Schizosaccharomyces pombe: one gene and its partner. The protein of the gene in region 2 interacts with the protein of the main gene of each other region in a biochemical or structural test. Each region holds a gene or a part of one and is shown on either strand. Other genes may lie near its edges. The genes, in order: rna1 and hta2.

The links.
Region 1: the proteins of hta2 (region 2) and rna1 form a complex in vitro, tested with the Schizosaccharomyces pombe proteins (one study listed by BioGRID).

Annotation. Positions count from the first base shown.
Region 1 is NC_003424.3:5,029,710-5,033,906, reverse strand, and holds rna1 (RanGAP Rna1), read right to left. Parts: upstream 2,137-4,197; 5' UTR 2,124-2,136; coding exon 963-2,123; 3' UTR 646-962; downstream 1-645. Other genes in the region: RNA polymerase I upstream activation factor complex subunit Rrn10, read right to left, coding at 84-251, 304-429; alpha-1,2-galactosyltransferase Gmh3, read left to right, coding at 3,909-4,197.
Region 2 is NC_003424.3:4,051,617-4,055,185, forward strand, and holds hta2 (histone H2A beta), read right to left. Parts: upstream 1,703-3,569; 5' UTR 1,632-1,702; coding exon 1,236-1,631; 3' UTR 830-1,235; downstream 1-829. Other genes in the region: mce1 (citrate transporter), read left to right, coding at 1-387; RNA-binding protein Rsd1, read right to left, coding at 2,194-2,452, 2,494-2,568, 2,618-2,938, 3,011-3,184, 3,232-3,369, 3,466-3,569. UniProt on the Schizosaccharomyces pombe protein: Core component of nucleosome which plays a central role in DNA double strand break (DSB) repair. Nucleosomes wrap and compact DNA into chromatin, limiting DNA accessibility to the cellular machineries which require DNA as a template.

The DNA of each region.
Region 1 (4,197 bases), 980 kb from region 2:
GAAAAATCATCAAAGTTAGTCATACAAATGTAACGGAGTCATCTCGAAACAAACGAATGAAAAGTAAAATGTACAAGGATAATTCATCTTTCTTCAAATTCTTCCAAACAATCAGTAACCATAGCATCCATCCATTCAGTCACCAAATATCCCAACCCCAATAAAGCACTTTCATCCAAACACTCGAATGACTTTTTCCCTGTCGCAAGCATGTATTCTGTTGCAAAATCCTGGATGCTATGAACTAAATCCTAAACATAAAAAGATTAGTTAAACAAGTATTGGCAGAAGCTGTGAACTTACAGGATCCGGCAGTTCATGTGGAATTGGAACAGAAAAATCCTGTACTAAATCACGAGCTCTGTAAGACAATTCACCATCAGCATTCACCAAATTATACAAAGTTGGCCGAGTTGGTGGATTTGACATTAATAGATGGCGTTGGACGTAGAGTATGTACTATGCTAGGTGAAGCTTCTAATTCGTCCTTGCAGTAGTACAATCATATTTGGAAACACCAAGCTCAAGTAATGGAATCCCCACATTCTTAAAAGTTAACTGCGACTTACAGAAAATTTATCTCGAGGTTTACAGACATACTGAAAAAATAGTTCAGGCTTTACGACATAACAACAAAACAACTTTACACAGATACAATCCAAACCATATTATATTGACCCAATACTTAATTAAAGTGGGTTATTAATAAAACGTAAAGAACCTTTTCGCCATTTTTGAAAGGGGAATTTTTTTTCTGTCATATACAGATTTAATCTAATACTATTTATCGGTCCTGCCGCGTAAAAAGACAGAATGTTGATAAAAATGCAGAAGGAAATCGAATGGTCGATATAGACCATCCGTTGACCACAATCGTTCATTACCGCCTAGCATGAACAATAGAAATATGTTAAAAAATTTCGGAAACAGCGGAGCAGGGTTCGAGAGGGAAAGTAGTTGCTCTAAATATGAGCTTTTGATAGCTCATCAGCAAGTTCTTTGTCTTCTTTTTCTTCTTCAGAAGTCTCCGGCTCAGGGCTTTGAGACTCAGCTTCTTCTTCTTCATCCTCCTCCTCCTCGTCGGTAAGTTCCTCCATATCATCAAGCTCATCTAGTTCACCACGACCACGGGTGCTAAAGACTTCACGTATTTCATCAACAACATCGTCTTCTTCCGAAAATCTGTTTCCATTTAATTCAAGGAATAAAAGATCCGGCATTTTCTCATCAATCACAGTTTTTAGGGTCCGGACAGCATCCAGCTCTATCTCGTTATACTGTAAGCGTAACGTTTGAAGCCCAATATTTTCTAATTTAGAAAAAGCATCTACAACTGCGGCAGCACCGCGAGCAGATAAGAGACAATCGTTGAGGCCTAGTTCTCGAAGGTTGGGCCAGCTTTTCAACGCGATAGCGAGAGCGCTAGAGCCCAAGTGCGTAAATGTGTTATCTTGAAGATCGAGTACCTTTAGCTCTTGGCAATATGCTAATCCTTCAAGCAATAAGTGTTCAATACCTTCGGGACGGATACCATTTTGCACCATTTTCACTGTATGTAGCAAACGGTGGCTCTGGAAAGTTTTAGCCCATTCTTTCATACTCCCATTTTCTAAACGATTTCTTCCACAAATAATGGAACGCAAGGGAGGTGCATTTTTAGCTTTCTTGTTGACCGCCAGCTCTTGCAAGGCACGAGCAATTTTTGCGCCAGCTTGAGGACCGAGTCCATTATTGTGTAGGTAAAGATGCTCCAAAGGTGTGTGTTTTGAAAGAAAGTCAATCAAGGGCTCCTGTGCAGTAGGGCCAAAGGCATTATCGCTCAATCTTACAGTATGTAGTTTTGGGCACTTGAGTAAAGCTTGTAGCAACAGACGTAAAGCCTCAGGAATTTCATCTTTGACACGTCCAGTAAAGATATCACTAAACTCTGCAATTTCTAAATCTTTTTTTGAGGCAATATTCTCTGACAACCATCTAGCAGCTTCGGTTCCAATTGTGTTACCAGACAATACAATTTCCTTTACAGAATCATCTTCTAACAGAACAGCAAATACAGACTTCTCGTCTTCAGTTGTAATTGCATCTAATTTCAAAGACTTCCCTTCTATTGAAAAACGCGACATGGAGTTGGTTGTTGAAAGAAAAAATATAGCAGGTATGGTGGTGAGGAAAGATTGTGTGAACTAGCTGTGTATGTTAAATTTGATCGAGGATAGATGCTTCAGTCACTTGAATTCATGGCTTTTAAAAAAGAAACTAAAATAATATTCAAAGTAGAAGAAGAACGAAATTTATCCTCTTTTGACGGATACCCCCTTTACTCAACCTGTTTTTATTTACAAACTCAAATGCGATCTCTCGCTAATGAGTTTAATTTTAAGACGATTCTATGCTATTAGAAGTCATTTAAATTATTAGATCAGATTAGCGCAAACCGAAAGATACTCAATGTCGGAGTGGTGCATTAGTGCTCGGATACGTTCCTGAAAGACATGTATAAAACTTTTGTAAATAGGATGATTGAGCTTTTTTGACATTTATCTATCATTCATTTTTGAAAAAATAGCTGTGACAATCCTGTTGCATATAGTTTGTTTTTTTGACTAAGTATAGAGGATCTTATGAAGAACCTTTTTGAGTGACCTTAGTCCTGAATTCTTAGCTTAAGTTTGCTTTAACTTAATTGCATTTCTAGCAATTAACATTGCTAGATTTTTGCCTCATCGCTAGTCCATTTATAAGAATACGAAGTTGAACGAAGGAATATTGACCAAAAGAGCTTGGTGACTTCCAAAAAATGAAGAATCAAAAAGATCTGAAATGAGTATCCCTATCTTTCAGCTTTCCGCTTGTTTCGTGATCATTTCAGTTACTCACACATATACATTTATGAGTTGACCCAAAAAGAAAATCGGAAAGCGGGAGTTTAACAGATATATGAAAAATCAAGATAATAACAACAATTGATATTTTTAGTTTAACATTTCTTATTCATTACTGTGAAAATCCACGAGTCTGCACTCTAGACACATAGAATACTCTTTAAACAGCTTTCACATTATCAGGAAAGCTATTCCATTGATACTGTATTCTTTTCAGTAAATTAATTCTCATTTCATAGTTGTAACCATTCTCGAATTGGACTTCAGTCCGCATTCCAGTACTTGATCTGCTTTACCTGTTTCAACAATTTGAATCGTTTGATTATTTTCCCATTCAATCATGACATTGATTTAGACGTATTGCTGAATTAAGCCATTCCTGTTATTTGTCCCAACGTATAAAACTGGTTAAAATGTTTAAGTACTGTGAATCATGTCATTAAAAGTTTGGAAACGTGATTTTAAAGGAACAACTCATTATTTTGAACATAAATCATTACCATACAGATTTTTCTTCTTTTTCTTCTTTTATTATAAATAGGATACGATAAGTAGAGGAAACCGTAAATTTATGATGATTGACTCCATGATGCGGTAATTTCAATCCTTCCACTACACACTGCCTTTAATTCCAGGTCCATCTGGTTAATCATTTTTTAAAGAATCTAATTCATTCATATTTTTTTATTATAATTTACATTATATTTTCAATTTCTTTTTACTGTTTTCTCTCGTTTCTTGAGTCAACGGGCGAAGATTCGTGTTTCAAACGTAGTATTCTTTGGAATATCACAAATCTCATTTTAATTTTTAAAACGGCTTTCTAATTTTCTACCGAGAAAGAGTAGAAAGTTTCCCATTTCATTCATAATTTCTGATCCATTCTTGGTATCTTATTGTTTTGCTTTTATCCAATCTCAGTTTATATTTGTGAAACTTGAAAAAGAGTTTCTCTTGTCTCTAAAAGACTAAATTTTATTTTTTATTTTTTTATTAATTTGCATTTAACATCTGCTAATCTTTAAAATGGCAGTCCTACAGTGGAAGTTATCTCGTGTTATATTCGTGTTGTTAATCATTGGGATTAGCTCTTTTCTCATTTACTTCCAATTTGGAAACTCTTTTTCTGCTTCACCTGCTTTAGAACGTTTACAAGATGTATTTTCCAAACCAAGTGTACAAGAATACGACTACTTAGTACCTCTGGATGAAGATATGCAAGGCCTTAGCACGACGTATCATCAAGCGACAATTAACGAGGATGATCCTCAAGAGCCCAAATCCCATGAAATAGTAATCCTCTTAGCGAGTGATG
Region 2 (3,569 bases):
CGTGGTCTCGCTGCAACTGTCGCTCGTCAAGCTGCTAATTCTGGTGTACGTTTTACTGCCTATAATAGTATCAAGCAATCCCTTCAAAGCAGATTACCACCAGATGAGAAGTTGAGTACCGTTACCACTTTCTTAGTCGGTTCTGTAGCTGGTATTATTACCGTTTATTGTACGCAACCCATCGATACTGTCAAGAGTCGTATGCAATCTTTGAGTGCTAGTAAGGAATACAAAAACAGTATTCATTGCGCTTATAAGATTTTAACTCAAGATGGTCTGTTGCGTTTCTGGTCTGGTGCTACTCCCCGTTTGGCTCGTTTGATTCTCAGTGGTGGTATTGTATTCACTGTTTACGAAAAAGTTATGGAAATTCTCAAGCCTTTTTAAATATCCTCGTAAGCAGTGGAATATGGATTTATCCTTGGTTATATATAATTATTGCTTCATTAAAGCAATCACTTCACTGGTTTTGTTCTTTTTTCACATTATCTTCTTTTTATTATTTTATTCTTTCTTTGGTGCTTTATAGATAGTTAGATTATTAAAAATATAACCCCCTAGAGTTTTGAAATGTTTTGTGCTTTGGAAGTATTCATGTTTTGCATGTTTTGAATTGCAACTTCCTAAATGCCCCTGTTACTACTACCATAATTAAATTATACCAATAATAAATCACCAAACTCATTCAAATCCATATATCTGGGTTGATGTTTAGGCACCTAGACAATACGCAGTGTAATTACATGCTACAAGCACCTCAAAAAGTTTAGCGAATATTGAACCAATAGTTCTTTCATTAAAATAAACCTATAATAAACAAATTATGCCTATACAAAGGAAGCTGAAAAAGGAAATGTATAATAAAGGGAAGAGGAAAACACGGAAAGTTCATCAAACGAGAAAAGAAAGCGTCAATCAACCATCAGGAAACCTAACAATCATTCAAACTCGAATAATGTACTGTACAAACAACTAAGCTTGAAACAGAGTATGTAACCAAATAAAAACGTAAGAATTATGAGTCATATGAAAAAGTTTCTCAACCGAATAATGCACTTGTTTCTGTATCACTGATATAATGATAAAACTAAATTTCTGATAGAGAAATTGCGTAAAAAAAGGTGTGAACGAATTAAGTCACGAAACCAACAGTTCAAGCAATTAGTGTGGTATAATAATAGTTAAGTATAAACGACAAATAATCTTAATATACAATTTATCATTCATTTAAGAGTTTAAAGCTCTTGGCTAGGCTTGCCCTTACCAGATTGTTTGGGCAAGAGATGAGCGTTGATATTAGGTACAACACCACCCTGGGCAATAGTAACATGACCAAGTAGTTTGTTCAATTCTTCGTCATTGCGAATAGCCAATTGAAGATGACGGGGAATGATACGAGTCTTCTTGTTATCACGAGCAGCATTACCGGCCAATTCGAGGATTTCGGCAGCTAAATACTCCAAGACGGCAGCCAAGTAAACGGGAGCACCAGCACCAACACGTTGAGCATAATTACCCTTACGCAACAAACGATGAACACGACCGACAGGGAAGGCCAAACCAGCCTTAGCGGAACGAGATTGAGCAGACTTGGCGACTGCGGCCTTACCACCAGATTTACCTCCAGACATGCTTGATAAAGAAATTACTTAAGTTTTAAATTGGAATAATGTATGCAGGATTGCTCAATTGCCCAATATTTAGAGAAGAAGAAGATGATGCAGCGACAAGCTCTTTTATATACAGCAATATACAGGGTTAGGGTTTTGATGGATGTTTATGGGCATTCATCACTGAATGATAGCAGACTCGTTTCAGTGATATTATACTCAGCATTTGGAACGCACAACGAATTTCGTTAAGTATATTTAGGGAATATATAAAAGACACAGTAACTATGATTAGAACGATTGTATACTACCTTATAATATATGATCCTGCAAATTCGTCGAATGTATTTAGTTAGACATAATTAAAATTCAATCAATATATGTACATATTTATGATTTTATTAAACTAAGTATACTCTTAATTTTACGGAAAAAGAAAAGTCTGCTACTAAATATCGACCATCGTAGTTTAAACTAAATATAACAGGACGTGCAAAAGTACAAAAAGCTTTGTTTTAAAAGAACTTTCTGAGAAAAGGTAAAACACATCAATTCCAGAGCAAAGTTTAGTAGAGAGCGACGTTTAAGCAGTTTTGGCATTAGGGAATTTGAAGTAGTAATCCGTTTCCGGTAAAATGGATGCCTTTATTGTACGCCCTCCGAACCAACGTTGATGGAGTCCAGTGATTGCCTTTTCAGCAAAATCGGCATTTTCAAATTTTACAAATATCTGCCCCAATTCATTCGGTACAACAGCAATGTGAACTACTTTGCCGTACTTTTCATCACACTCTTCTTTGACGTCCTGCTCCAATTCTTGCACCCAATTAGGTGATGTTTCCCTTTAAAGGTTAGTCAATTATGAATCATAAAAAAAACGTACTCAGCAGGATTAAACATGTTTTCTAATAATGCACATCTACTACGAATTGGAGGCTCTGGTTCAGATACCAGTTTACTGCTTTATGTTAGAAGACAAAAAGGATCCAAGTTAAAACAAGACATACCTGTTGTCTGAAATGTCTTCAGAGCGTGCTAACTTTTTCATTAGCTCATCTCTTGTAATGGGACGGCTTTCTTCTTCAGTAGGAGATAAAGGAGCTGCTTCTCGATAGTCTTGTGATTCGTAGGTTGATGAACCGCCATTACGTTGAGAAGGTTGACTACGTTCTTGGCGAGCCAACGTTTCGTCAAAGCGCTTCAGCATGGAACTAGTTGTTTCTGTAGTAAATTTATCATTGCCCAAACAAACCCTCATATTTCTTCCGGCTAAATCAAAGCCATTCATTTTCTCCAAAGCATTTCTCGCACTTATAGGATTTCGATATCTAAAAAATATAATGTTAGTGTCGTTGAAGTTAAATAGATATAAATATCAATCTAATTTTTTGAAAACATACTGTATATAACCAAAACCCTTGCTTCGGTTTTGATCATCACGCTGAAGGTGTACAAATTCTATGTCGCCAAAAGGTTCGAAAATTGCCTTAACATCTTCATCAGTAAGGTTGAAGTGAATGTTTGAGACACACAATCTGTGAAATGGAATTTCAGCGCTAGCGGCTCGTGCCAATCTACAAATAAGTTAGACAAAAATAATGGATGCTTAGTAAAAACTTACTCAGCAGCTTCACGAGCTTTTCTATTTTTTTCAGCCTCTGTAAGTTGTACAATGACAGGAAGACCCAACAATCGCTTACCAGAAAGCGCAATAGCCGCCTGTACAGAATCCTCGTGACAGAACTCCACATATGCAACACTATATTATATTCGTTAGCAAACGAACCCAATTTGAAAAATAAAAAAAAACAGAATAATATCTATTTAAAAAAAAAAAAAAAATTATAAGACATACCCTTTCGATCGTCCGCTAATCTTGTCTCGAACAATTTGAGCATCGCGAACAGGACCAGCTTGTTCGAAAAAATCATATAATTCCCTAGAAGTCAAACGATTTGC